7 linked regions of the Macaca fascicularis genome follow. The main gene of each other region encodes a partner of the protein of the gene in region 7 in a complex. Links are inferred from orthologs where the notes say so. Each region holds a gene or a part of one and is shown on either strand. Other genes may lie near its edges. The genes, in order: MED8, MED25, MED21, MED23, MED31, MED7 and MED18.

Region 1 (4,728 bases), about 15 Mb from region 7:
GGATAGTTGACACAGAGATGTGAGATGGAGATGGGAAATGAGAGCAGTTTCTGTTACTCAAAGTTCTTCCTCACTCTCTGGTGCCTATGCAGAGTCTCAAATGAGATTTTTTTACTTCTGAAAATTATTTCCTGGGTCACAGTGCAAAGGAGAAATGGAGAAAATCTCTAGGTCTAGAGATGCTGGAGGCCCAGATAATCTAGCTTATTCCCTCCAGCTCCCCTGCTCAAAGTCAGCTTCCTTTCAACCCCTGCCACCTTACCTGGTTGACCTGCTTGAGCCATTTGTACCCCACTGAGCATTGGCTGCTGCTGGCTTGGAGCTCCTGCCATCTGCACCTGCTGTAATCCTGAGGTTCCTGCAAGGATCGTCCCAGCTCCTGGCTGGCCTGGCTGGCCAGGACCACTGCTGCCTGAAGGTCTCCAGTTAGACAGTCCTTTCCCAAAGGCAACAGCTGCCACCAAGGCATTAGTGTCTGTAGGGTTAAAGGTCTGCTTGTTTGGCCGGAGACCTGAAGAAAAAGTAAGTGGGGATCCTGAAGTATGTTTCTGATGCAGGACTGAACGTGGCAGCTGGAAGACCAGTATGAGTGCCAGGGTTTAGAGTTCTGAATTCAGCAGCATCTAGACTCCCTCACAGCCCATAAAAAGAGCCAGAGGACCCCCAAGCCTATCTCAGAATTCTCTCTTCTTACTTTGCCCATTTCCTCCACTGCTTCAGGGTTGGCCTTAAATACAAAAGGCTAACAGAATGGATGCAAACCCTAAAGCAGTTCACTCTTGTGTCCTAACTTCACTACTCTCGAAACAACCATTCCCATTCCAGTGATCTTATATACCTCTCCTTCTCTGTTTTGCCACCAGTCCACCATACCTCCACTCTCTGATTCTCGCTCCTCTTTGCTGATTTTCTCCAGAAGGTTTGAACACATTTTATTCAAGCTCTGGATCTGCTTCTGTAACACACAAATTTGTGCAGAGATTAGGGTAACTAGGAAACGATATGGACAAATTTATTCCTTGGGTTCTGCCAGAAGCAGCTTAGGTGCAACCAACTATGCATCCCTACTAGACAGGAATGGTAATGCCTAGCTTCTCATGATGGGATGGGGATGGGGCAGCAAGGCAGTGACTCAGTCCAACCTGGGCTGCATCTGCACCAATGCGGGCAGCATCTGTCGTCAGTTGCTTCTCCTGTTCTTCCACCTCAGGGTCAGGCTTGGTTCTCAGATGGTCAGGGACTACCTCATGGCTGAAAACGGGCACCCGTCCTTCAGTCTGCCGCTGCAACACACAGATTTTATTGATCCTACTATGCACTCCAAGAAGATTCTATCTGGCCTGATATACAGTCCCATCCACAGGCAAACAGTGCATTTTCAAGGAAAATACAACCTAAGACATAATATCTAGTTTCCTAGGACACAATCTCCTTTACTCCAGCCTTCATTTTTTGTGTCTTCTCACATCCCTATCTCTACCAGACCTAGAGGCAAATTAAACTATCACTGTCTGCCACGTTTCAAAGACTGAAACAGACAAAGTCACCAAAGGGCAGACTTTGTGGCTTGAGACAGATGTTGGAGAAGGAAGGTACCAGCCTTGGTGACATACCCCTCAGGTTATTACAACACTATTTGGGAGTGGCTCTCCCACCTTCAGAAGAACAAAAAGCAAGGCCTCCAAAATTATTTCTAAGTTCTCAGCTAAGAACTTAATTTCCCTAAATAGTAAAGAAGCCTAAAAAACTCCTTAATTTCCCAAGTTGTATTCTTTTTCTGCTCTTACCATGAGATCTTCATCTCGGTCTGGAGACAACACCAGAGGGATGATGACCTGGTTACGGAACAGCGGTGTTTTTTCATGCTTCAAGACCTTGTTCAGAGTGTTCAACTGTCCAGAAAGCAAGGCAAAGCTGTCCAGGACAGATGGCCTGTTGGCAGTAAGCAGGTGTCAGAATGTTCCACCCCTTCCTTGGGTGGTTCTTAGTAAAATAGTCCTAGTTCCTTCAGGCTAGGAACACTCGGATTTATCCCCAAAAGTCTCATAGCCCTATGACTAGCCTAAGTGGGAAGAAACTAACAAGGATGACAGGGTTATGAAAGAGGGACATAGTTTCAGTTTATGAAACAGATGTAGAAAAAATCCAGTTCATTGTTTGAATGAGGTGAGGAACAGTGGCAAAATAGGACTATACTGTTATAACTAAAACTTCAGAAACCCGGTAAAATCCTTCTTTCCAGCCTGGAAATAGGATCCACACTTCAGAGTAGGTTGGATCTAAAGGACTCAGCCATATTTGTGGCAAGAGATCCAGCACAAATAGAGCTGTAATAGGAGGACCTCCTCACCAGAGAAGTCAAAGGGTAAGAATTGAAAGCTATAATGAACTTGGGTTAGGAAACCGAGCATTTCTCTACTTCCTTGCCATGGAAGCCACTTGCTAAATGTTACGAAACCCAGCTCTTTCCAAATCAAAAGATGTTTGTAAACTGATAAATGGTTACATCATTAGAAGTGTCCTATTCATCAGAAGGCTAGGCCCCCCCACCCATAAGCCCTCCCTAGCTTGCCCTGGCAACCCTTACCAGGTCAGCCGGCCATACTCGTTCTCCAACTTGCAAATGAAACTTCCCAGTGAGTTCTTCAGATCAGCCACTTGACTCAGCAGTGCATCTAATGATGCCTCAAGCTGCTTCTCCTCTCTCTGCACCAATAGGAACAGGTTGGTTACCCAGATAAACGAGTATGACACATAGAAAGGAGGGCTGAAAAGCCAAGGAGATGGTGTGCAAACACCAGTCAGGTAACAGGATCTCATTGGCATAGGATAACCAGGTTGTTTCCTATCTGTGGTATTTGGGTTATAGACAGCATCAACCCTGAGACCTTTCAACCGTTTGCCTGACCCAAGTACTTCCACCAACTGATTCCTTTTTCCCATCCGCTCCTAATCTATGCCTGGTTTTTCTCTGTATTAGGTACACCCTACACTCCCTCATTGAGACATTTTCGACAAACCTAATGCCAGATCATTATCTCATGTGCACCTCTGTAGCACATGCACTCCAGCTTCCTCCATCCTAGCATTTGTGAGCCTGGCTCTCTTGTCAGTCTCTGGGAAATCTGCCTACTCATGAAGACTTCTCTGAATACCAGCCCTGCTCTCCTCTTTCCCTCCCCCCACCAACCACTCCAGCTTTCCATCTGCTCTCATCATTTCATGTTTCAACCTTCTCCTCGCTGAATTAATATGCACCCATCTATCTCTGTGTCAATATTCCCGTGCCTCTTTCACAAGCTCGGTCAACCCAATAACATTTCTTGAGACTACCAGCTGCAGGAAACTAAGTGACAAATGAAAACCAAAACCGCACATGCTTCTAAGCACTGAACAAACAAATTAAAATGCCGGGGGTCTGCAAAGCATTTCCTTCCCATCGGTGGTATCCTGTTTTATTCCATTTCTTCACCCTTAACAACTATAGGGCACAGGCTGGGAAGAGTGATGCAAAACTGTCTTGCAAACCTGCTAAGGTGCCTGACAGGAACTTGATCCTGGGTTCCACCATGGCCTCACATTACAAGCTGCTTAGCTTTCGGACACCGCGGCCCACAATTCCCTCACTGCTTGGGCTTCTTTCCAATTAGATCCCCTGCTATATCGGCATCCAACAGCCTCCATCCAGCAGCTTAGGACAGGGCCTGAGCCAACCCACCACCTCCTGAGCCGTCTTCCTTGGACTGCATCTCGGCCTCCCCGTATTACAACCTAATCCTTTCCCACGCCAAGCAAGTCAGTGCTGCCTCCTCCCTCCGGATTTAGCCCGACCGCCTTCTGTCAGGCGAGCTCCACCCCCACCTCTCATCTGCGCCGCTCCCTCTCCAATTAACCTCGCCCCCCAACCCACGTTCCCTTATCAGCCGTGGGTTCTGCCCTCTTTTCTCAGTCCCAACTCTTCATTCTCCTTAGCCAGCCCACTCTGGCTCCCTGTAGCCGAAGCTGGCCAGCCGCTAGCACTCCCAACGCGGCTCTCACCTGCATTGCGGCGGCCGAGGCGACTGCAACGATTTCCACTTCCGGTTTCCTGTCAGCAAACGCCTCTGAGAAGGCTTCGTCCACCAATCAGAAAACTGGAACTCGGCCCTCCCACCCACTTCCTGTTCCTTCCGGGTGCCGAGGTAGCCAGGTCAGGGGTCAAGAGTGGAACACACGGGCCCGGGCCGGCGCGGGAGGGCTTGTGTGATGGCCTCGGAGCGCCCCGAGCCGGAGGTGAGGGGCGGGCGGACGCAGCACTGGGCCCTGAGATCCGAGGGGGAGGGTCCGGCGGGCAGGCGTGGCGTTGGCCTCCTCTGGGTCTGGGGGTGGCCGGGCTGCGTAGCCTCGGCAGGGACCAGCCCAGCCCGGAAGGCCCGACTATGGTACCCCTGCGGACTATGGGACGCGGTCTGCAGTTTCCTCGGGGAGCTAAAGGAGTAACTCTTTTTGCTTTGTTTTGTTTACTGACGTGTCATCCGCGTCGTCAACTCTTTGACCTAATGATAGTGGTATTAACAAAATTTGTATTTTGACTTTCTGTTGCAGTTTCAATGGGCAACACGGCAGTAGATTTAGTTTGCCGGGTTTTGTATTTCTTTAGGCATTGGAATGCTGTAAACAGCATGAATTCATTTAGTTCTAGGGCCCATGCTTTTAGAAAAGCAGCTTTAATTTCATGAAAAAAACATT
Region 2 (3,984 bases), on a different chromosome or scaffold from region 7:
TCCTGCCTCAGCCTCCGGAGCAGCTGGGACTACAGGCGTCCGCCACCTCGCCCGGCTAATTTTTTGTATTTTTAGTAGAGACGGGGTTTCACCGTGTTAGTCAGGATGGTCTCAATCTTCCTGACCTCGTGATCCGCCCACCTCGGCCTCCCAAAGTTCTAGGATTACAGGCGTGAGCCACCACGCCCGGCCTATGAGGAGCGCCTATTTTGAACATCCAGCCCAGTCAAGCTTTCAGACGACCAGAGTCTCAGCTGCCATCTGATGGCAATTCCATGAGAGTCCCCAAGCGAGATGGCCACTGAGCCCAGGTGACTCACAGAATCATAAGAGAAAATTTTTTCTGAGTGCCCCCAATTATCTATTTGTTTGGAAAACTATGTTATTTGCAGCCAGAAGCACTCCTAACTCTCAGGAATGCCTTCTTCACACGGTTCTGTGAGGATCCCATGAGGTGATCCCTAAGGTCCTCTTTCGTGCAGGAATGCCTGGTGCACAGAAGTAACTGATCTGCTCCTTCCCCGAGTTACAAGGTGAACTGTGTCTCCCAGAAAGCTATGCTGAGGCTGGGTGCGGTGGCTCACACTGGTAATCCTAGCACTTTGGGAGGCCAAGGCGGCAGATCACTTGAGGTCAGAAGTTCGAGACCAGCCTGGCCAACGTGGTGAAACCCTGTCTCTACTAAAAAATACAGAAATTAGCCAGGCATAGTGGCACATGCCTGTAATCCCAGCTACTCGGGAGGCTGAGGCAGGAGAATCGCTTGAACCCGGGAGACGGAAGTTGCTGTGAGCCAAGATTGCACTACTACATTCCAGCCTGGGTGACAAGAGTGAAACTCTGTCTCAAAAAACAAAACCAGAAAGCTAAACTGAGGTTCCAGTCTCCAGCACCTTTTCCAGACTCTATCTGGAAAGAAGGTCTTTGCAGTTGTAGTAAGATGAGATCAGGAAAATGGGGCCTAATCCAAAATGATTGATGTCCTTATAAGCACAGGGACACAGAGATACAGAAAATGCCACATAGAGACACACACAGAGGGCAGACAGCCACAGGATCAAGGAAGACCCTGGAGCGATGCCACCTGCAGCCTGGGGTTACTGGCTAGAAGAGGCAATGAGGAGGCCTTCCCTCGAGCCTCTAGAGAGAGCGCGGTCCTGCCAACACCCTGACCTTGGGCTTCTGGCCTCTAGAACTGGGATCGAACACATTTCTGTTGTTTTGAGCCCCTCTGCTTGTGGTAATGTGTTACCGCAGCCACAGGAAACGAACACATCCCATAAACCCATGCCAGAATCAACAGCTTCCTCCTAACTGCTCCAGTCACATCCAGCTCACATTTTTAATGTGGAATATCCCTCAATCTGGTGCATACGATGATTATAATAAAAGTCAAGGCTCTAGAAGAAAGGCGAGGAACCTAAGGGCATGAAGTCCACCCAACCATCAAAAACGGCTTCCATGGGCCCAGGCACTCTGGGATTCCCTTCAAAGGTCAGCAGAAAGCAGTACAAGAGTTAATGCCCCTCGGCCCCCAATGCCCTGGACTCACGAAGCCATTGCCCATGATGCGGTAGAGGCCTTTGAGAGACTCCAGGTCCTTGTTGGTGAAATGGAACTGGACCATCCTTGAGTTCCGGAACAAAGGGCCCAGGGTGGTCTGCGGGAGACACAGAAGTCAGCTGGCATGTTGGTGTGGGCAAGTGAGGTGGGCACACGAGGCAGGGAGTGGGGGTAGGGCAGGGAACAGGGAAGAGACAGTAGGGTGAGGGCTGCCTGGCAGCAGGGCTGGCCCTCCACCACCACTCACCAGCAGCTGCTGGGGGATGAGCTGCATGATCAGCTTCTGGGGCCACTGCTCAGTCTTCCTGGGGGGGTGATGCCAGGAGAGGTGTGAGGAGGGGGCCAGCCCCAGCCCCACCGCACCCCACCCGACAGTCACCTACAGGTTCTCGCCATGATTCACATAGACCTGGCAGGGCAGTGACCGTGTCAGCTTGGTGTTGGCATCCACTGAGGCAGGTTTGGGTTTCTGAGGGGGAAAAAGAGCATGTCAAAGTAAAATGGGCCATAAGCCTCAGTCCCCTTGAGCCCTCATGTCCTAGCCTGCTGGCCCCAAAGCTCAGGATGTTCCCCAGTTTAAGTCCCATGAGCCCCTGGCCCCTCCTCCAGACCAGCAAACCTTCAATTCCTCAAATGTTAGGGCTACGTTCCCGGCCCCTAAATCCCACAATCCACTGTGCCCCAGGTGCTACATCACCTGGGCCCTTCTCTGGGCCCCAAATCCTAGGCTTTTCTGGGTTCTTTGCATGGGGACTCTCTTCTGTACCGCAAGTCCCACTGCTCCATGGGGCTCCTGGCCTGGTCCCGGATCCCACGGGTCCAGCCCAAGGAATGCCCCCAAACCCAGCATTGCAAACCCCATGCATGTGACCCATGAGTCCCACATGCCCAGCCCCATGGCCCCAGGAGTCCCAAGTGCCCAATGGACCCTCAGGCCCCTCACCTCCTGCCACTCGAGGACCCCGCTCCATGCCAGAAGCTTATTGGAGACTGACTGCTGCCCACCGAGGGCTGGGGCTCCTAGCTGGGCTGGGGAAGGGCCACTCACCCCTCCTGGGGCCACAGTGCCTGCCTGCCAGAGAGGAGGAAGGAGGGCCATGAGAATGAGGAAAGAGGGGGGCCTCCGGGGGCCATCCTGTGAGGGCAAACCAGGAAGAAGGAAAGGCCCCTTCTTCTGCTCATCCATTCCCAGAAGAGCACTTGGCCAGCCCCAGGACCCGAAATGCTTGGATGCTGCAGGATTCCAGGACTCATAAGCTGTGTGATGCCCCGGACTCCCAAACCCAGGGATTCCTTGTGTTTCTCAGAACAGCCCTGACCCACCTGGAGCCATGAGCCTCCCCATTCCGTCCCCAGACCCTCATCTCAGGCATCTGCAGCACACGTACCACGAACCCCCAAGGCCCCAGGGCCACCAGATCCACACCCCCCTGGAAGGCAAATGACTCATCCTCTAACTGTCCTAGCTGTGGGCAGCAGGAGGAAGGAGTGGGGGCAGGAGGTGTGCAGGCACCTACCATGGACGGTGCCCCGGGCTGCGCTGTGGGAGCCAGACCGGAGCCAGGGGCCACGGTGGAGACCAGACTGGGCTGGGAAGCAGGTGGTGGCTTGGGGGCACCAGGGGGTCCTGGGGGTAGTTGGGGAGCTGGGGCCTGGCTGAAGGGGGGACCCACTCCGGGAGCAGCTTGCTGGAGAGGGGTGATGGGCGAGACTGTGGGAGAGACCAAGGGAAGAAGTGAGGAACAAGTGTGTGGAGGGAGGCCTGCCTGGCCCCTGCCCGCCCCTTCATTCTCGCCCCAGGACTCACAGCGAGGGCCCAGCCCAGCCTTCTGGTTCTTGGCAGCCTCCACTGCATTCTGGGCGGCCACCTGAGCTGCACTCAGGTTCCCAGGAACCTGTGGGTAGAAGGGAAGAAGGAAAGGGACTGGTGAGGACCATGGCCCTCCAATCCTGGTGTCCCACGAGGTCACACCACCCACGGCCCCACAAGGCACAGCTGCCCCAGCTGGGAGAGCTCAGAAGCTCACGACACCCATCACCTAGCAGATGAGCTTCCATGGCCCCAGGAGTCCCACCCTCCCAATGTCCCATGGGACTCCCATCATCCCACAAGCTCCAACATGCAACTAGATCTCTCCCCAGGGGCCAGGGCTCCAGCAAGTCCCCAGAAGCATGTCCCTTCCTGGAAACATCCATACCTGGTACTGCGGGGGGACGGGGGGCAGAGGCTGCTGGGGAGCTGCTGAGAGAGTGGCACCGGAGGGTGCGGCAGGAGGCAGGGGGACTGGCTGCTTTGGCTGGAGGGGGCCTGGGGCAGAGCCACCCCCAACTGAGAGCAGGAGGGATGGCCAACCCCGGAAAGAAGGGATTCAAGATGGAGAAAGGGGAGAGAAATCCAAAATCCAAGTCAGAGGGAGCTGG
Region 3 (4,418 bases), on a different chromosome or scaffold from region 7:
TACTCCTTCATATTTACCTAACTAGTCATAAAGTCACTTATGACTAAATGGCTTTGCCCAGGTTTTAATAATAGTAATGGAGCAATAAGTGCTCAGACGCTATACAAACGTAGATCCCAGCTCTATTAACCCAGGTAGCATTTTTCATTTTTAAATTGGATACATTCTCCTATTACAGCATTGTTGTGAGGAAGAGGAAATACACAAAATATTCAACACAGTGTCTATCTGTTCCATCCTTCAAAAACTTTTAGGCCGGGCGCGGTGGCTCAAGCCTGTAATCCCAGCACTTTGGGAGGCCCAGATGGGCGGATCACGAGGTCAGGAGATCAAGACCATCCTGGCTAACACGGTGAAATCCCGTCTCTACTAAAAAATACAAAAAACTAGCCAGGCGAGGTGGCGGGCGTCTGTAGTCCCAGCTACTGGGGAGGCTGAGGCAGGAGAATGGCTGAGGCAGGCGAATGCTCGGGAGGCGGAGCTTGCAGTGAGCTGAGATCCGGCCACTGCACTCCAGCCTGGGCGACACAGAGAGACTACGTCTCAAAAAAAAAAAAAAAACTTTTAAGATCCATTCAGTCAACAAAACTTTATGGAAAATAACTATGACAAGTACTACATTTAAACACTATAGAGACATAGTGAATGCGACATAGCTTCTGCACTCATGGTTTTCAGAGGGTAGAACAAATGTTAAAAGTTATACAAATCTGATTAGGATAAATGCTAAGAAGATTCCCTCTATTTTGGTTCACATCACTCCATATTCCAATTTACTTCAGAACCTAAAGCTGAAAATACTCAATTCATTATAACTCCCTAACCACATACTGTTTTTCCATCACTTAAATGTCTCCTGAGTATATGACATTTTTTTAACCTCCTTAAGGAGTATCTCTTTGCAAACATGATAGTGCTTATACACAGTAGGCACTCATACTAGTTATCCTAAAGGCTTTTCTCCAAAATCCAATTATCAGTACGCCTAACCTGGAGTTAAGGCCATATTCACTCTGTCCTTACTATCCTTCTAGTTACAAGACATGTATGAATATGCAAAAGTTTCCCTAAAATAAGATTTCTATCCAGCAGCATCATTACAATTTGATTTTGTAAAATCTCAAAGGAGTAGTTCCCTGAGGAAGGCTGACTGGCAGCTCAGGCAAGTCCCTGCAGGGCAGAATTTATCTTGGTGAATTCAACATTTAGAAGCTGGTCCTCTCAGCCTTAAAAACTAGTGTTATTCACCCAGGGTAGATCAGTTTATCACAAGTAGATTCACACTCTTCAAGTGTACAAAGCCTGATGTATTAAGAAAAATGCCAAGTTATTAGCTTACAGTGAGGAAAAAAAACTGGCAAAGAAACCAGGTACTTAGGTTTTCCTCTCAGCATGTTTTCTCTCTAGTCCCTTATCTAGGACGTTAAATCACAATCAGACAATGAGAAACATAACTATCAATGGAAAACTATTTAACAGAAAACTATGTAACTGGTAATGGTAATAAGTATACCCATTGCAGCAAGAGAATACCCACTGACGTCTTGGTCAACGGGATGCATATATTATGTCGGTCCCCTATGGTTATAACAACGCTGAAAAATTCTTACTGCCTAGTGACATCATAGCGGTCTGTGCTTGTGGTGACGCTGCTGTAAAGCAACCTACGGCACTGCCAGTGTATGAAAGTCTAGCACATACAATTAAGTACAGTCCATGATACTTGATAATGATACTAAATGACTTTGTTACTGGTTTATGTATTTACTGTTTCATCGTTATAATACATTGTACTTCTACTTATTAAAAAAAAAAGTTATCGCCGAAACCATGCATTTCTCAGAACATAACCCCTTCATTAAGGGCCCATGACTGTATGCGCATCCTCTGGCTTTGCTTCTGCTTTCCACTCAGGCATAGCTTGGAGGAAAAATTACCAGAAGGAACAAAGCTGGGGAGCTACCTACAAGACTTGGCCTTTAATAGAGCGTAGAATTTGGGGGAGACGTTCAAAAAGACTTGTAAGCCGGGCACGGTGGCTCACACCTGTAATCCCAGCACTCTGGCAGGCCGAGGCGGGAGAATCGCTTGAGGCCGGGAGTTCGAGACCAGCCTGGGCAACATGGTGAAACCCCGTCTCTACTAAAAATAGAAAAATCAGCCGGGCGTGGTGGAGGGCGCCTGTAATCCCAGCTACTTGTTTGGCGGAGGCGGAGGGTGCAGTGAGCCGAGATGGCACCACTGTACTCCAGCCTGGGCGACAGACACAGTCTCCAAAGTAAAAAAAAAAAAAAAAAAAAGAAAAGAAAAGAAAAAAGAAAGACTCAAATAAACGGAAAGACATACGAGAATCAGAAGATTTCCTATCATAAAGATGTCCCCAAACTGATGCATTCTGAGGGGTGGCCAAGAGACAAGAGATGGAAGGAGGCTCTGGGCCCACAGGAAGGAGCGAAGATGAAAAATCTCTCGCCTCAGCGTCGCTCCGCACCAACCTGAAAGCGCTGGTGAAGGAATACTCTCGGCTGGCATTTCATTACAAAAACCCAGTCATCCACAGCACGAGATCTCCCTTGGTGGATTCAAATTGATGAGGAAAGAAAAGAGCTCCTGCTTCTCCTCCCAACCCCCAAAAGAGAGATGTAAGCACCGCTGCCAAGAAAATAAAACTGTCCTCAGGGAATACGACAGGACCGCGCAGCCGACAAGTCTTGGCGGCCCCACCCGGACAAGAGCAATCTTCCCGGTCTCCTCAAGCGAAAGAGGCTGCTCCCTCCCGCACCTTCAAGCACCGCCCGGCAGCCGGCCTCACACCTCCGAGTTCGCGGTGGCGCCTCCCGAGAGAGCGCTTTATGCCGAAGCCCTGTTTCTCAGTCCGCTTTCCACTTCCAAGTTTTGCCTCTTGGGCCCCTTTTCTCCCTTGCTTTACCTCAGGAAAGAGAAAGACAGAGGCTAATCGAATGAAATTCCTCACCGAATTCACAGCGTCTTGAAGCTGCGTGAGCCGATCCGCCATGTTCTTCCCGCAGCAAACCGACGCCAAAACAGCTGCTCTTCCGCGACTGGGCAGCTCTGGTACGCGTCATGGCCAATCCCAGCGCTGCCTTCTTGGAAGGGGTGGGGTCGGAGAGAACTCCCCGCCCGTCAGGAGTGGGTGGTACTGCCGAGGCGGCCTTAGAGCGGGCTACACCAGAGGAGAGGCTGGATCTTTTGAGTAACTGGGGAGCGGCCTGGGGTCCATCGCTTTGAGGGGCTGAAATACTCTCTTTGAGGTTGTTAGGTGTTAAAGGCTTCAGAGATCGTTGGATTCAGCGGGGATTTTTTTTTTTTTTTAGTGATTTCTCCTATCCTCTCATGTGTTTACTTATTGACTACATTGAAGAGTAGATATATTTATTTATTTTTATTTATTTATTTATTTATTTATTTTGAGACGGAGTCTGGCTCTGTCGCCTAGGCTGGAGTGCAGTGGCGCGATCTTGGCTCACTGCCAGCTCCGTCTCCCGGGTTCACGCCATTGTCCTGCCTCAGCCTCCCGAGTAGCTGGGACTTTAGGCGCCGCCACCACGCCCGGCTAAATTTTTTTTTTTTTTTTTTTTTTTTTTTGTAGTAGAGACAGGGTTTCACCGTGTTAGCCAGGATGGTCTCCGTCTCCTGACCTCGTGATCCGCCCTCCTTGGCCTCGCAAAGTGCTGTGATTACAGGCATGAGCCACCGCGCCCAGCCAAGAAAAATCAGCTGCACAATTTAGATTTAGAGTTGGGACTTATTGAGAGCTTAAGTGTGAAGAGTGATAATAGAAACTTGGTATTTAAGGAAATTTAGCCTGAGGATAGTCTGGTAAGAAATGAGTTTGGAGTCGGCAAATAACAGGTTTGGAGACATCAAACAAACTCTCATATCCTCTTTCTCAGGCTGATTATCCGTGATTACCTTCCTGCGGCTGCGGGGTAGGTGGTGGACACAGTCCCCGGGGAACTCAGCTTGCTGGATTTATCCCAACCCTTGCTGGGAAGCACCACTTCTGCTTCACACCCATGCCCCACCCTCATCCCCAAACAGTCTACAGACTTACTGGGGCCTCATTAAGAACGTGGATGAGGCATGCTCCCCATAATGGAACTAATGAGAAATCACTCCATAATTTGTTCTAACTGTAACTTGGGGGAATCTACAACCTTTTCCTCCCACCTTCACTTGAGCGTGTACCTTACTGAATGCCTGCCACATGCCAGGAAGTATATCCAGTGCTCAGTGTGCAAAGATGAATAAGCCAAGGACTCACCAAGAGGAAGGTTTTGCAGTTGTCCAAGATTAAGGTGAGCTGGGCCTAGAATAGGGTGTTGACCCTGATAAGAGAGGAAAAAAAGACTAAAATATATTTTTGAGAAAAATAATTAATACGGATTGGTGACTGA
Region 4 (3,984 bases), on a different chromosome or scaffold from region 7:
TGTTGTCAACCATCTAAAATGTTTTTATAAATTCATACTTAAACATTGTTTTTTGCCGGTTGCAGTCAGCCTTTAGTGCCAAGAGAGAACATTACAGCATGGATGAATGCAATTGGTTTGATCATCACTGCCCTACCAGTGAGTTAATAATTGTGATTCGTGCTTAGTGATGAAATATAGCCAGCTGTTCCACGTCAGCAAAAAGAAAAAGATGCATATAGGATGCAAGTTAATGAAGTATTTTATGTTTTTAAAGTTTTTTCATATTATTACTGCTTTAAAAATCTACAGTGACTAGTGTTTGCCTTTCTGTATTAGATCTAAATATATCTATGTGACTTACAGGCCTCTGCATTTTCTGGTACCACCTTACCTATCCAACTTTAGTTTTTACATCATAGCCTGATCTACTCTTGGCCGCTTAACGTGTTGTATATCTACAGCTTTTGTTCCTGCACATAGTGCTTAAGACATGTTTTAGGTACTTCTGAATGTGAGTGAATAAGACATTTTTCGTATTCCAGAGCTTACTTCTTTCCATCACCTTCTCTAAAGCCTGTTCATTCTTTGCTAGCTTAGAGCCTCCTTTCTCAGTGAATGAAGCCTTCCCTGACTTTTCCAGCTCACATGACTCCTTTCTTTGACCTCCACACACATTTTTAACAAGTTTATTATTTTTAAATAAATAATAAAATTATAGATTTATTGTTTGATAAATTAATTGATTTACTGCATAGTATATATCAGGTACCTAAATGAGCTGGACAGATACATGTATGGAGCCCCCTAACTCACAGGTACTTCACCCAGGTTGTTACTGACTTAATTTGACCAGTTACGAAGTCACCCAACTGTATGTGCAGAAGCTGGAGAAATAGAAAACTTTAAAGAATGAGAAAACACTATTACTTTAGACTTTGGGGTGGAATGCTGGATAAGTGATATTTTTCACTAGCCTTCCTCCAATTTTAAAGGAGCCGTATTGGATTGTTCTTCATGATCGAATTGTGAGTGTCATCAGCAGCCCCAGCTTGACGTCTGAAACAGAGTGGGTTGGCTATCCATTCCGCCTCTTTGATTTCACTGCCTGTCATCAGTCCTACTCTGAGATGAGTTGTAGCTATACATTAGCTCTCGCACATGCTGTGTGGCACCATTCTAGCATCGGACAACTTTCTCTCATTCCAAAGTAAGTATAATAATTTCTTAAAGAAATTTGACATAGGCTGGGTGCGGTGGTTCATACCTGTAATCCCAGCACTTTGGAAGGCCGAGGTGGGCAGATCACAAGGTCAGGCGATTGAGACCATCCTGGCCAACATGGTGAAACCCATCTCTACTAAAAATACAAAAATTAGCTGGACATGGTGGCATGTGCCTGTAACCCCAGCTACTCAGGAGGCTGAGGCAGGAGAATCGCTTGAACCAGGGAGTTGGAAGTTGCAGTGAACCAAGATCGCGTCACTGCACTCCAGCCTGGTGACAGAGTGAGACTTCATCTGAAAAAAAAAGAAATTTGATGTATTTCATTTTTTTTCTAATCTCATTAACAGATGAGGTATATACTTCATTCATTAGAACAACTCGTGGCCGGGCGCGGTGGCTCACGCCTGTAATCCCAGCACTTTGGGAGGCTGAGGTGGGTGGATCACAAGGTCAGGAGATCGAGACCATCCTGGCCAACATGGTGAAACCCTGTCTCTACTAAAAATAAAAAAATTAGCTGGGCGTGGTGGTGTGCTCCTTGTAATCCTAGCTACTCAGGAGCCTGAGGCAGGAGAATCACTTGAACTCAGGAGGCGGAGGTTGCAGTGAGCCGAGATCACGCCACTGCACTCTAGCCTGGGTGACAGAGCAAGACTCCATCTCAAAAAAACAACAGAAAAAGAACAACTTGCAAAGTAAGTTGATCAGAAAGCTCCTTTTGCTTCAGAGTTGTTTTTTAAAAATTGACTTGTATGTGCTAGTAATAATCTAATAATCTAGTTTTCCACTATAGTTTGAAGAAGCTTAGTCAAATGCATGCTTTTTCCACAATATATCCCAAAAGTTACCTTTTAAACTGAATAACTGATATTATCCTATTTCCTGATTATTTTTCTTGACCATAATAATGGTATTAATTAGATTGAAATTTCTTGAGAGTGGCATTTCTGTTAGGTTATTCTCTTTTTATTTCAGATGATTCACCTATCAGTAGTTTTACAATTAAGAATGACTTAAATCTGATTTAAACCCCATCTTTAGTAGAAATACAAAAAATTAGCTGAGTGTGGTGGCGGATGCCTGTAATCCCAGCACTTAGGGAGGCCGTGGTGGGTGGATCACAAGGTCAGGAGATCAAGACCATCCTGGCCAACATGGTGAAACCCCGTCTCTACTAAAAATAAAAAAATTAGCCAGGCGTGATGGCATGCGCCTGTAATCCCAGCTACTCAGGAGACTGAGGCAGGAGAATTGCTTGAACCTGGGAGGCAGAGGTTGCAGTGAGCTGAGATCGCGCCACTGCACTCCATCCCGGACAACAGTGTGAGACTCCATCTCAAAAAAATAAATAAATAAAAATAATCAAATGAAAGTAATAGCCAGTGAGAGATGTGAGATTAATTAGAAACATTATTGTTACCAAAGTAAAAGGAACTTTTTAAAAAATGTTTTGTTATAATACTTTGTAAATACTGTATTAACAAAATTCAAACAATTTAAATGATTTCAAGTCACAGGAGATTTTTATTTTTATCTTCAAATTTTAGGTTTCTCACTGAAGTGCTTCTTCCTATAGTGAAGACTGAATTCCAGTTGCTTTATGTATACCATCTTGTTGGACCATTTTTACAAAGATTTCAGCAAGAGAGAACTCGTTGTATGATAGAGGTAAAATATAATCTGGATTTCCTGTGACATGATTAAATTCTGAAGTATCTATTTAGGTTTTTTACCAGTGTTATTGAAACTGCAGGTCACAACCATTAGTAGTGAAACTAGTTTAACAGGATCCAAGAGCAACTTTAGAGGACTTAGTGTGCCAGTAATGAATTTAGGGTGGGATGTATTGAATTGGAGATGCAGGGGAAATACCCATTATGAAGGTTGAGAAGAGGTTAAGGATGGAGAAGTACACTTGAGATCTTACATGCAGAGGAACTAATTAAAATCATGAGAATGGATGAAGTCAGTCACTTCTAACAAGATGTCGAAAACAAGGAAAGCACCCAGGAGTAGAACCTTAAAGCAAGAGCTACCAAATGGAACTAAGAAAGTATAAACCAAAGGATCCCTAGGAGTGGAGTTATCCTAGACATCAAGAGCTGGTGTCTAGAAAGGGGATTGTTTATCTCTTAATTTTAAGATAAATTACTAAACTATGAAGAGAAATTTTATTTAAGCCTTATCAGGGGCATTTTGTAGCACTATAGATTCTTTTAAAATGCAAGCCATATCATATCTCATGTGCATAGAGGTATGTATAGTATATGACAGCTCTACAACAAAGACAGTATCCCCCAGTGTGAGTGTTATAATGGAGCCCAGCTGCATCATGCTGAATTATTGAATCGCTTTTAATCACTTAAATAATTTTACATTATTTGTTAAATAGATTGGTGTGGCGTTTTATGACATGCTGCTGAATGTCGACCAGTGTAGCACCCATTTAAATTACATGGATCCCATCTGCGACTTCCTATATCACATGAAGTATATGTTTACTGGTGATAGCGTGAAAGAGCAAGTAAGTTGAATTTGTTTAATTATTTTTAATGATGTTTAATTTAGAAAACTTGAACATATAGTAATAGACTTTTTTGGTTTGAGTGATTATTTTTATTTTGTCTAATTTTTTTTTAAGGAAAATGGGTGGGTTTGAGACCTTTTTAGGCAACAGAGGCATATTATTCTAGATGTAGTATTAAAGTAAATACATGTTATAATTTCTTGTACTTTTCCCCCAAAAGACCTAGAGGGTTAATTAATAATAATCTCATT
Region 5 (4,529 bases), on a different chromosome or scaffold from region 7:
AGCAGCTAGTAGTGACAGCTGCTCTCAGCTTCAGCCAGTTGTTGACTTGGGAGAATTAAGATCTATGGTTACTAGATCTTCCAGATTTGAAAGAGTAGTGGGAAATCTGCATTTGTTATATAAAAGTTTCTGATCTTCAAATGTTGGCAAGTATTAAAAAAAAAAACAAAACTAAAATCTTCTGCAGACTGAATAAAATGCCCAAAAGGGGCTAATCTGCAATCTCTCTTGAATGTAAGTATCTGGAAGGTTGTTGTCCTCAAGAGGGTATAGAATGGTTCTAGCTCAATCCAGGGACAACCAAGTTATCAAAATTAATGTCACCAGTAGTGGGACAAATAGACTTCATGTGACTGCAGATAGATGAAGGATAACACTACAATCAGACTAGAGCTACAAGGAGAGACATTATATCACAATATAAGGAATAACTTTCTACCATCTGGCTAACAGTCAAATCAGCTGTCCCTGACAGAGTAACATGGGCTCAGTGAAAACCTCCAGAGGGTAGGTGACCATCTCTCGGCAACGCTGTGGGTAAGATTAAACGTGTTGGTGGCTGAGGCTTCCAACACTGAGTCTGTAAATCTACATACATACAACATTTGTTGAAATCTATTTTTCTTAAAAGTCTTTTCTTTGGATTATTAAATGGATAAAAAGCCAGAAAAGGTGCAAAGGGTCCTGCAGGCAATATAAGATGTATATGCTTCGTGAGTCAATTGTTATTGGACACAGAAAAGTGACTTCGAAACAAGTTTGAAACATTTTCCTCTCAAACTTTTTTTTTTTTAAGGTTCACTATTGCTTTCTACCTGCTTAACACAAAGCAGGGATGAGTTCAAGGTGTTGTTTTTTTTTTTTTTTTTTAATCATTAAAAGGGAATAGGTTTGTGGTTATATGCTTCTTGCAATTCAGTAAGCCTTAACACGAAAGTGTCGCTGAATGACCTGAATGGTAAATATATATATATATATATATAAATGAGTTAATGCATATGAAGCATTTAGCACTGTTTCTGGCACATAAGAGGCCTTAAATAAAAGATAGCAACTCTAAGACTCAGGTTAAGATCACCTCCTCCAAATAACCCCAGAAACACCTTCCTTACAGATACCCTCTTTTAATTTCAGCCCATGGCTTATGTCACTTCATTTACAGACTGTGAGTTCTTCGGGACCAGAAACCTGGTGAGATGGGGAGGGTGGTGAAAGACAAGGTCAGACAAGGCAGGGCCAGATCATATAGGGCTTTAGCCCAAGAAAAGAGACTGGATTTTATTCTGCATGGTATGGAAAGTCATGGAAAGGTTCTAAGCAAGAAAGTAAAGTGTTCTGATTTATATTTTTAAATGACTAAGTTGGTTTCTGTGTAGAAAGCTGTTTTGCTTGGTTTGGTTTGGGGTGGAGGGGGGGCAGGAAGGTAAAAGTGGAAGCAGAGATAACCAGGGAGTAGATTACTGCAGTGATACAAGTTAGAGATGAGACTGTCTTGTGTTAAGATGGTGACAACGAAAAGAAGTGGAGAGATTCCAAATACATTTTTGCCAATGTGAAACGAAGAAATCTATCATATCATAAAGTATACACATGCTTAGGATTATAAAAATTAAACTTACTTTAGATACTTGGCATATTCTGGGTCTTTCCAGTAAAGCAAGTATTTAAGATAATTAACAAAAGCTTTGTCTTTGAAGTAACCTCTTTGGGCAAGAACTGAAAAGCATTAAAAAAAAAAATGTCTGTAGGTCAAACCAATCTTTAAACTATGCTTTGTTACCCCTAATGTAAAGGATCTATTTACATAAAACCCCCACCACCAACACACATTGAATTCAAAACACAAATCCCAGTGCGCAATTATATCTATATACCAGCATAAGTGTAATATCATTCAATTGAGAATGTGTAAAAGTAGATACTATTTTGAATTGCAACTCTTCTGTCAGAAATCATTAGTAGCTACTCAATTTAATGAGGTGCTTAACAACTTACAATTAAGGTAATTTGGGTTGGCTAAACATTGCACAAATTCCAACTCCAACTGAAACCGAAGTCGATTTCCAGCATCATCTAGGAGACAAGACAGCAAAAATCATGGAAAGTAAGGGTCACTGTATATAATACTGATTTGCAGTAAGGAAACAGCAATAAAGAAACCTGACTAATGCCGAGATGGTCTTCCTAAACTGGGAGTTGGGGGAGATAAACCTTTCTTCGAAATCTAAGAAAAGCGGAGCCCTGATTAAAAGGAGTTAGAAGTTTCTCTAAAATTAAAGAGAAATCATCAAAGAAAGCAGCAACACAAACGGAGAATTCCTAAGATCACTAAGGTAGGCTGTAACAACTATGGCTTCCCCTATGTTAATAATGCGTTATAACAATTGTTAACAGTGATTAAGTTTTGCAAAAGCTACGTGCTGAATCAGTTAAGAAAAAGTTAGGATGCAAGAGACTGCGTAGAGCCTAAAAGATCATGGAGCGTATGCATATAAGAAGCACCAGTAGCAGAATGACACATAAAGTCCGGCGACGATATTTCAAACTTAGGCAAGCTCATGTGAGAAGCAGAAAACCAATCAAGGAGGAGACGGTTTAACACACAAGTCCTCTCCCTTAGTCTCACCCACGCCGGGGAGCTGGTAGGGTGGTGTCTGAATAGCAAAGATGTGCGAACAAACCAAATTAGGAAAACTGCAAAGAGTACCTTAGTCTTTCTAGAAGCTACAAGAGCCTTCTCACCTCCTTGTCCAAATATTAACCCTGCCGAGATTAAGGCCTGGAAGGAGGCCACGGGGAAGCCGTCTGGACCGAGGGGAGTTCCATCTGCGAAGACTCCAAGATCAGAGAGCTACTCACCTGTCTCCATAGCGACGGCAGCGGCCATAACAAACGAAGACACCAAAACGCCACCAGCCTGACCGAGCAAAAGCCCAGAGTGGCGGGGGAAGTTCCGGAAACCACGGCTCTCTCTTCCGGTCCCGGGGCACTGTGGGATATGGGGCCGGGCGGCTCCGCCCATCCCGCCAGCCCTGGGATGGCTCCACCCGCGCTGGCTTCAAAATAGCGAGCGGGCGGGGCCCGGGCCGTGGGAGCGCCTGAGGGGCAGGAGCCCAGTGTTTTTAGCCTTGGAAGGATCATGGTGTTTCCACGTCATCGTGTTGTGGCGCTCCCGGCTATGGCAGTACCGTAGTTTTCCTCTCTTCTGCCTGCGGTGACCGTTGGGCTGGGGGGTGCCCCGAGGCCTCCTTGGCCCCCTCACGCCGGCAGAATGGCCTCAGCCCGAGGGGCCAAGCAGTCTTCTCCCCGGGTGGGGACCACCCGCTACACAGAGACGTCCACAGTCCGCGTGGAGACCTCGTCCCACCGCGTGGAGACGTCGTCCCGGCGGGTGGAGACCTCCCAGCGCCGCAGCGAGGGGCCCTCCCTCTCCCCCTTGGGGAAGCGGCTCCCTGGCATCCTCGAGGCGTCCTCCCGGCACGTGGAATCCTCCTCGCAGCGCACGGAAACGACCTCCCGCCACATCAGGGCCTCGTCCCTGAGGGTGGAGACGGCTCTGCACTGCGCGGAGAGCCCAGCCCCGCGGGCCAAGCCGGCCGCCCGCCAGAACGAAAAACCGGCCCGATGAGATGCTGCTTCCCAAAGGCCACCAAGGGGCCAGGGCCCTCAGCCAGGACAGAAAGGCCTCCAGTTGCCAGCCAGCTGCCAGGTGGACCAATCATTTTCGGTTTCATGGAAACAAACCATAAATCAATGGAAGAAACAGCCAAGCCGCAGTTTCTGAACACAGCCAACGTTTATTGACCATCCTGCGTCTTGGACCAGCCTACTTTTGACCCAGTGAACTATTTTCACTTGAAGCCAGCACAAAAGATTTTCATGCCCAGGATGCTGTCTAAATTGGCTTGATGGACAAAGAGGCTGTTTGAGCCTCTGAGCCAGGTGAGTTTGGGATCCACAGCCCTCAGAAGACCTTCACCCCTTAGGAACAGAGACCAAACTGAAATCATGACCTGTGGAATGATTCCATGCCTGCTAGAAACTTGAGGGGCAAGGAACAGACTCATAAATTATTAATGGCCTTTGTTTATGTTTCAAGGTAACTGGTGGTTTTCTTTATGCTAACTAAGTCTTTGTACCTGGCACTCCCATCCATACACTTTTTAAAGGTAGGTTAGATGTAGTTAAAAATGACAGTAAACCCACTAGCAAGCAAAAATAATCTTAGAAGAGAAAGTGAGAGGAGGCCATTGAAACCTGGTCTGAGGTTTGAAGAAGATGGAGAAGAGTCATATTTATTGAGAACCTGCTCTGTGCCAGGTACTAGATGTTCCTCCACTTACAATGGGGTTACCTCCCATTAAAACTATTGTAAGTTGAAAACACGGTAATTTGAAAAGGCACTTAATATCCCTAACCTACTAAACATCATAGCTTAGCCTAGCCTACCTTAAACATGCTCAGAACACCTAACGTTGAGCAAAATCATCTAACAGAAAGCCCATTTTATAATAAAATGTTGAATATCT
Region 6 (4,186 bases), on a different chromosome or scaffold from region 7:
CTCCTGGACTCAAGTGATCCTCCCGCCTCAGTCTCTCAGTGGTGGAATCACAGGTGTGAGTCACCATACCTGGCAAAGTTGTCTTCTAAAGTCCTTAACAAATGTGAGGTTAGGCATGGTGGTTCACTCCTGTAATCCCAGCACTTTGGGAGGCTGGAGGATTACTTGAGCTCAGGAGTTTGAAACCAACCTGGGTAACATAGTGAGACCTCATCTCTACTCAAAGAGAAAAAAAAAATTTTAGGCCAAGAATGGTGGCTCACTCCTGTAATCCCAGCACTTTGAGAGGCCCAGGCGGGCAGATCACGAGGTCAGGAGATCCAGGCCATCCTGGTCAACATGGTGAAACTCCTTCTCTACTAAAAATACAAAATTTAGTGGGCATGGTGGCACGTGCCTGTAGTCCCAGCTACTCGGGAGGCTGAGGCAGGAGCATCGCTTGAACCTGGGAGTTGGAGGTTGCAGTGGCCCCAGATTGCGCCACTGCACTCCAGCCTGGCGAAAGAATGAGACTTCATCTCAAAAAATAAAAAAAAAAAGTTTTAAGAGATAAAAAAGAAGTGAACATGTACACATGCCTTGAAAAGAGAAGATAATGTGGACAAGGTGATTTGAACAGACAATAGAAACATAACTGGAAGCAAGATTCTTCTGAAGGTGCTGTAATGGCTGAATAGTTAAGACACAAACTATCACCTTCAAAAATCAATTCGTTTTATTATCTTAGTTACATTTTCCTTCGCCCTTCCGACACATCCAACACTTAAACTAGCATCAGGCATAGAGGTGACCACAGTAAGTATTCATCAAATGAATACCATGAATAAATGAATAGCTGGGGAAAAACTACTCTCATAAAGAGAACACAGATTTGTACAGTCAGTTTATTTTTGCTATTTATATTAAGTTTACACGTGCCTGATCTGTAGTGGATATCTCGTTGTTAGTTCAGCACCACTTCCTTCCTCTGAGACAGACTGACTCTTCCATACATAGACATAGTGGGGACTGTCAAATTATTATGGGAGCCAAGTCCCAGTTGATTTGCCCAGTTGGAATCAAGTATGCAACCCCTAATTCCTCATGTCTAGGTCGTTAATTAACCTCATTTTTTTTCGTATTTGAGAGAGAACTCCCAGACAGTGGTAAACATAGAAATGCTTAACACATGGGAACTGTTAGTTGCCATGTTCTCCACCTACATCATTAAAGAAGTTCATCAGTAAAGAGAATGAAGCTAACAGGAAGGATGGTCTCCAGGGCTACTAACTCAAAACTTCAGACACTTTCTGTCCTCCTCATGGTTTATATGTTCAACTTATCCTTCAATCAACATACCCTATATCCTTTCCTTTTAAAATTAAATAGCAATGGAGAGAAGTTCTCACTATGTTGCCCCCGCTGGTCTTTTCAACTTTCTGGTTGAAAAGGTCTGGGATGGAGCTAGAGAAACTTCATTTATTTTTTATTTTTCTGAACCTATGGATTATACTAAAACTTTTATTTCTAGTGAGTCCCCAAATGGTACCAATGCTGCTGGTCCAGGACCACACACTTTAAGAACTACTGGCCTACATTAAGAAAATGGCAGGCAAAGATCCTCAGAAACAAAGTCAACTCTCTACTAACACCTTGGTGGAAGAGGTGATGGACAGTGGGGAGAAGAAAGTGCTCACATAAAGTCCAATTAGTGAGGGGCAGAGTGGAGTTAATGAAAAGAAGACTTAGTCCTCACAGTCATTCAAAGACCCAGACTGACAATCTTTGCCATCTTCGGTGGCTTCCAAACTTATCCTGGATATGACCATGCAACCAGCAGTTGGGAGAAAAGAATGGAGGATCATGCAAGAAATGTTTATGGGGCAAGCCTGGATTCCTATGCCCACATTTCACTGCCTAGAACTTAATCATATGTTCTCACAGAGATGCTGGCAGTACGGAAATGTCCCTGGTTGGGTTGCCACATCTTGGCAACGTATCTTCAAAGAACAAGACTCTCTGGTAGACACCTAGCAGTCTCTGCCGTCAAACCCCTTTCCCAATGTGGACTTAAGCAAGTCTGGGCTTAGCTTTAAAGAAAATGTGTAGCTAATGACATAGACATCTTAATTACTAAAATTAATGTCTGTAACTTAAAATGGCCAAAGGACTTATTACCTGAGTGACTGGAGAAAAAAACAATTCATGGGACTTGCCTGCAAGAGTCTATTCAGGATAGGGAGAAAAGACTGAGATAGTGGGTTTACAGGAGCAGTCATGAGGAAAAAATAAAGTTTCTGTTTTATAATTCTTCTGGGCTCCTCTCTATTAACATGTTATACTACCTTTTGCAGCTTAAGCAAAATTTTTAATGGAATAAGTTTAAAGATATCATAGTTTTACATTTATAGATTGATATCCATTATTCCTCTATCATTCTTAAAGCAAATGATAAATCCCCTTTTCAAAGACGAAAACTTTTGCTATTACTGAGGTTATCATCAAAGTTTTACCGCAACTCCAAAACATAGGAATGTCCCATACAACAGCGGTGAACACTTTGCTTTTTAAAGTGATTATTCTTAGTGCAGGGGTACTCATTTGTCTATGCTTGTTATACAGTGAAATTACTGCCTATGACATCTCATAATTGAAAAAGTTGGAGTCAAGATTAAAGCTGTTTACATTTTTAGTGAAACCTCTCTTAAGACTGTCCAAAAGAAAATAAACTAATATATGAGGCTATTTATCAAAAGGAAAAAAGAAACATAAACATCTTTCATGGTCTTTCATTCATTTCATCAATTAGGACACACAAGGCAGCATCTTTCTCTATAATCTGATCTCTCCTATGACCTGAATTTTCTCTTTGTTCATTCTGTCCAGTACAATTGTTGCTATCATCAGCATCCATTGGTTCAGTTTTTACTCTCATTCCTGCTTCTGAATGAGGCAAATCATCAGGCAAAGAAGCCAAGCAATTCTGAATCATTTCAATTACTCGTTCTAGGTGCTTTTGAAACCTCTCAGCTGTTTCAAGCCGTTGACGTTTCTGGACCTCCATCATGACTCTCAAGGTCTCTCTTGCTTGGTGGGGTCGGTATTCATTTATAAGATGATGCACGTGTACAAAAAGCAGCTTAAGATCTTCTAGTTTCTCTTCTCGTTTTATACTCCCAGGGCTCCTTATTAAAATATCTAAAAGGTCCAAGAAATTAATAAGGATAGACATATTAAGTTTTCTCAGTTCTTTTTTGTGATCAAACTGCATAGGATGAAGCCGTTCGATGCCCTGACTTTCCAAAGGGCGGATGATAAGATCATCGCATTGGAACTGATTGCCAAACATCATGTAACTATCTTTTATTGGAGGGGGAGGCTTGGGAGCTAAGCCTTCTTGAATATTTTCATCTGTATATTCCTTGATATATTGCATTGGAGGTGGTGGAAGTGCACTTACTTGCTGTGGTTCACCCATTGTGGACTATCAAGAACCTATGGACACAGACCAAAGATTTATTAGAGCCACAAAACAAACCTGTTACATTTCATAACTACAGACAGAATATTTTCTTCCTTTTCTTCCAGTAGTTTGGGGTCCAAGACAAGATGATCTCCTTGGTTTCTAAAACTAACATTTATGATAGGTAAAGTTTGCCATATTTTCTAAGTAGGCATTATATTCTCAACCATTCACATATTTTCCATTCTCTCCCTAATAATTTCATCAGCATGAAAAAATCTGTAGCATCTTCTGATCTCTAAAGAAAATCTTCCACCGGGTGCGATGGCTCACACCTGTAATCCCAGCACTTTGGGAAGCCGAGGCAGGTGGATCACAAGGTCAGGAGATCGAGACCATCCTAGCTAACAGGGTGAAACTCCGTCTCTACTAAAAGACAAAAAAAATTAGCCGGGCATGGTGGCGGGTGCCTGTAGTCCCAGTTACTCAGGAGACTGAGACAGGAGAATGGTGTGAACCCAGGAGGCGGAGCTTGCAGTGAGCCGAGACTGTACCACTGCACTCCAGCCTGGGCGACAGAGCGAAAATCTGTCTCAAAAAAAAAACAAGAAAATCTTCTGGATTCCACACCCTTCACCATTTATGCCCCCATTTCTCTACTCCTCCATAACCAAACTACACATGTTGTCTCCCAATCTCGTATCACAATCACTTTTGCTTTATGTTACAGATTGATTTCCAATA
Region 7 (2,717 bases):
CCTGGTTAACACAGTGAAACCCCATCTCTACTAAAAATACAAAAAATTAGCTGGGTGTGGTGGCAGGCACCTGTGGTCCTAGCTACTCAGGAGGCTGAGGCAGGAGAATGGCATGAACCCGGGAGGTGGAGCTTGCAGTGAGTCGAGATTGTGCCACTGCACTCCAGCCTGGGTGACAGAGCAAGAGTCTGTCTCAAAAAAAAAAAGAAAAAAAAAAAATTAGCCAGGCGTGGTGGTGCATGCCTGTAATCCCAGCTACTTGGGAAGCTGAGGCAGTAGAATCACTTGAAAGTGGGAGGTGGAGGTTGCAGTGAGCTGAGATCATGGCAGTACTACACTTGAGCCTGGGCAACAAGAGCGAAACTCTTGTCTCAAAAAAACAAAAAAAAATTTAACAAAAGGAGATTGTAGACAAATATCTTGGAAAGATGTTAATGATAGATGAATGGGAAAAAAGGGTTATAAAGCAGTATATATGGAATCTTCTCTATAAAATAAACACATTTCATATACATAAATTTATAAAAAGTAAAGACTAGAAGGATAAATACCAAAATAGAACTAGTACTCTCTTTGGATAATAGGTGTTATTTTTTATCTGTACCATATTTTATAAGTTTTCAACAATAAATGTGCTACTTTTATGACAGGTGAAAACTCTCATCCTCATCTCTACCATAATTAAAACTAGGAACTGTCATTTTTTTGCTTCAACTGGTAATGAATCCACCCCAAATTTACAGGGTAAAGGAATAAAGAATCAGAATTACACAGACATTTCTCTTCATTGGCTTTATTACCATATAACACAAGCTCACAGCCTCTAATGTTACAAACCTTATACACAAATGGCCAAACAAGAAATTTTCCTTTCCAAAAGCTAATTTATTCCGGTTTCCCCTCTTTATTTTTATTTTTATTTTTGAGACAGAGTTTTGCTCTTCTCACCCAGGCTGGAGTGCAATAGTGTCATCTCTGGTCACTGCAACCTTCACCTCCTGGATTCAAGCAATTCTCCAGCCTCAGCCTCCTAAGTAGCTGGGATTACAGGCGCCCGCCACCATGCCCGGCTAAATTTTGTATTTTTCGTAGAGATGGGGTTTCACCATGTTGGCCAGGTTGGTCTCAAACTCCCGACCTCGGGTGATCCACCCACCCCGGCCTCCCAAAGCGCTGGGATTAGAGGTGTGAGCCACTGCGCTTGGCCTGGTTTCCCCTTTTAATAATACAGTGGGATTAGATAGATTCTCCGTGACATCCTGAGCCTTTAATGTAGAAAGGCTGTCACGAAAGTGAAATCACCACATAAGAACAATGCAAAGAACCAATTAATTCTCACCATCCTCTCCCTGAAGGAAGAATGCCTGCCTGGCAATGGTGAAATGAAGCATTTAAGACATATTTTTTTGGCCGGGCATGGTGGCTCATGTCTGTAATCCCAGCACTTTGGGAGGCCAAGGTGGGTGGATCACAAGGTCAGGAGTTTGAGAATAGCCTGACCCACATGGTGAATCTCCATCTCTACTAAAAATACAAAAATTAGCTGAGCATGGTGGTGGGTGCCTGTAATCCCAGCTACTCAGGAGGCTGAGGCAGAACTGCTTGAACCCGGGAGGCAGAGGTTGCAGTGAGTCAAGATCGTGTCACTGCACTCCAGCCTGGGAAACAGAGCGAGACTCTGTCTCAAAAACAAAATAAAACAAAAACCAAAAAAAAAGCAAACATTTTTTCAAGCAAGTAAGGACAGGCCCCAAATGTGGACAGATCCTCTTAGTCACATGAGCCTCTTGGGGTCTATTTTCTCTAGGTGAACCAGAGGTTTTAGCTGCTCTGCAAAGTTCTTCATGTCATCAGAGACCACATCCTGCCCAGCAGGTGCTACCACACTTAATTCCACGAGATAGGAGAGTGACAAGGCCTCAGTGCTGTCTGTGTTCCCTGGCACCAGGATGCGGAAAATCTTGTACACCATAATCTTCATGATGCCCTTACGGAACAAATGTCCCTTAGCAACAAACTCATGGTCCATGCGGAAGCCCATTTCCATCAAGAAGTCGGTGAGGTTCTCAGATGTGGCAATGTCCACGCAGTTTCGCACCAGGGCGTGGCGATTCTTGTCTCCCATTTCTGGCTGTCCCAGGTAGCGCAGATGCCAGGGTGCTCCTGCCCTGTCCATAGAGCGTCGGGCCCTAAGAACAAATGGGCTGGCTTGCTGGCCCTTAAGGAGGAATACCATCTCATGGTCAAGGAAAGTCTCAGGTTCCATGTTGTCACACAAACCACGAAGGCGGTGGATGAGGCTTTCCAAACTGTGATCTAAAACACTTCCTGAAAACGGAACAAGCACCACTGAGTCCTATCTTTCATTTTAGGTCATGGAGTTAGCATACAATTGAAAAAACTTAATGAAAAACCAAAACAGTTTAGTGAAGCATTTCATAAAACATAGGGCCAAACATGAGATTTTAGAGAAGTTGCACTACCAAGGTATTGTATAACGTTGTGAGAAAGTTATTTCCCTTTTCAATTTTTTGGAATTTTCTTATTTAACACTACAATGTCTTTAGGCCTCCTCTAATGCTAATCTCCAGCAGGCCTTGGGCTTAGAGCCTTTAATCAGCAACAGGGTCTATCTAGAATGTAATAATACTGTTTTAATTATGTATTTATTTATTTTGGTAGAGATGGGGTCTTACTATGTTGCCCAGGTTGGTCTT

Evidence for each region.
Region 1: MED18 (region 7) and MED8 share a complex: the UniProt entries of both Homo sapiens proteins name them as parts of the mediator complex. The link is inferred for Macaca fascicularis from reciprocal best matches to the Homo sapiens genes MED18 and MED8.
Region 2: MED18 (region 7) and MED25 share a complex: the UniProt entries of both Homo sapiens proteins name them as parts of the mediator complex. The link is inferred for Macaca fascicularis from reciprocal best matches to the Homo sapiens genes MED18 and MED25.
Region 3: MED18 (region 7) and MED21 share a complex: the UniProt entries of both Homo sapiens proteins name them as parts of the mediator complex. The link is inferred for Macaca fascicularis from reciprocal best matches to the Homo sapiens genes MED18 and MED21.
Region 4: MED18 (region 7) and MED23 share a complex: the UniProt entries of both Homo sapiens proteins name them as parts of the mediator complex. The link is inferred for Macaca fascicularis from reciprocal best matches to the Homo sapiens genes MED18 and MED23.
Region 5: MED18 (region 7) and MED31 share a complex: the UniProt entries of both Homo sapiens proteins name them as parts of the mediator complex. The link is inferred for Macaca fascicularis from reciprocal best matches to the Homo sapiens genes MED18 and MED31.
Region 6: MED18 (region 7) and MED7 share a complex: the UniProt entries of both Homo sapiens proteins name them as parts of the mediator complex. The link is inferred for Macaca fascicularis from reciprocal best matches to the Homo sapiens genes MED18 and MED7.

What each region holds. Positions count from the first base shown.
Region 1 is NC_088375.1:191,387,836-191,392,563, reverse strand, and holds the start of MED8 (mediator of RNA polymerase II transcription subunit 8), read right to left. Parts: upstream 3,128-4,728; 5' UTR 2,944-3,127; coding exon 2,588-2,943; intron 1,933-2,587; coding exon 1,788-1,932; intron 1,284-1,787; coding exon 1,143-1,283; intron 956-1,142; coding exon 874-955; intron 512-873; coding exon 263-511; intron 1-262. Other genes in the region: KICSTOR complex protein SZT2, read left to right, coding at 4,246-4,272. UniProt on the Homo sapiens protein: Component of the Mediator complex, a coactivator involved in the regulated transcription of nearly all RNA polymerase II-dependent genes.
Region 2 is NC_088393.1:57,813,841-57,817,824, reverse strand, and holds part of MED25 (mediator of RNA polymerase II transcription subunit 25), read right to left. Parts: intron 3,893-3,984; coding exon 3,762-3,892; intron 3,459-3,761; coding exon 3,371-3,458; intron 3,275-3,370; coding exon 3,081-3,274; intron 2,636-3,080; coding exon 2,507-2,635; intron 2,033-2,506; coding exon 1,947-2,032; intron 1,869-1,946; coding exon 1,811-1,868; intron 1,661-1,810; coding exon 1,553-1,660; intron 1-1,552. UniProt on the Homo sapiens protein: Component of the Mediator complex, a coactivator involved in the regulated transcription of nearly all RNA polymerase II-dependent genes.
Region 3 is NC_088385.1:29,775,671-29,780,088, reverse strand, and holds the start of MED21 (mediator of RNA polymerase II transcription subunit 21), read right to left. Parts: upstream 3,047-4,418; 5' UTR 3,017-3,046; coding exon 2,975-3,016; intron 1-2,974. UniProt on the Homo sapiens protein: Component of the Mediator complex, a coactivator involved in the regulated transcription of nearly all RNA polymerase II-dependent genes.
Region 4 is NC_088378.1:35,560,699-35,564,682, reverse strand, and holds part of MED23 (mediator of RNA polymerase II transcription subunit 23), read left to right. Parts: intron 1-65; coding exon 66-138; intron 139-974; coding exon 975-1,189; intron 1,190-1,756; exon of another isoform or gene 1,757-1,901; intron 1,902-2,753; coding exon 2,754-2,874; intron 2,875-3,598; coding exon 3,599-3,730; intron 3,731-3,984. UniProt on the Homo sapiens protein: Required for transcriptional activation subsequent to the assembly of the pre-initiation complex. Component of the Mediator complex, a coactivator involved in the regulated transcription of nearly all RNA polymerase II-dependent genes.
Region 5 is NC_088390.1:6,692,296-6,696,824, forward strand, and holds the start of MED31 (mediator of RNA polymerase II transcription subunit 31), read right to left. Parts: upstream 2,941-4,529; 5' UTR 2,888-2,940; coding exon 2,860-2,887; intron 2,074-2,859; coding exon 1,996-2,073; intron 1,717-1,995; coding exon 1,620-1,716; intron 1-1,619. Other genes in the region: C16H17orf100 (uncharacterized protein C17orf100 homolog), read left to right, coding at 3,272-3,628. UniProt on the Homo sapiens protein: Component of the Mediator complex, a coactivator involved in the regulated transcription of nearly all RNA polymerase II-dependent genes.
Region 6 is NC_088380.1:163,927,814-163,931,999, forward strand, and holds the end of MED7 (mediator of RNA polymerase II transcription subunit 7), read right to left. Parts: intron 3,475-4,186; 5' UTR 3,458-3,474; coding exon 2,759-3,457; 3' UTR 693-2,758; downstream 1-692. UniProt on the Homo sapiens protein: Component of the Mediator complex, a coactivator involved in the regulated transcription of nearly all RNA polymerase II-dependent genes.
Region 7 is NC_088375.1:206,725,086-206,727,802, forward strand, and holds the end of MED18 (mediator of RNA polymerase II transcription subunit 18), read right to left. Parts: intron 2,329-2,717; coding exon 1,775-2,328; 3' UTR 778-1,774; downstream 1-777. UniProt on the Homo sapiens protein: Component of the Mediator complex, a coactivator involved in the regulated transcription of nearly all RNA polymerase II-dependent genes.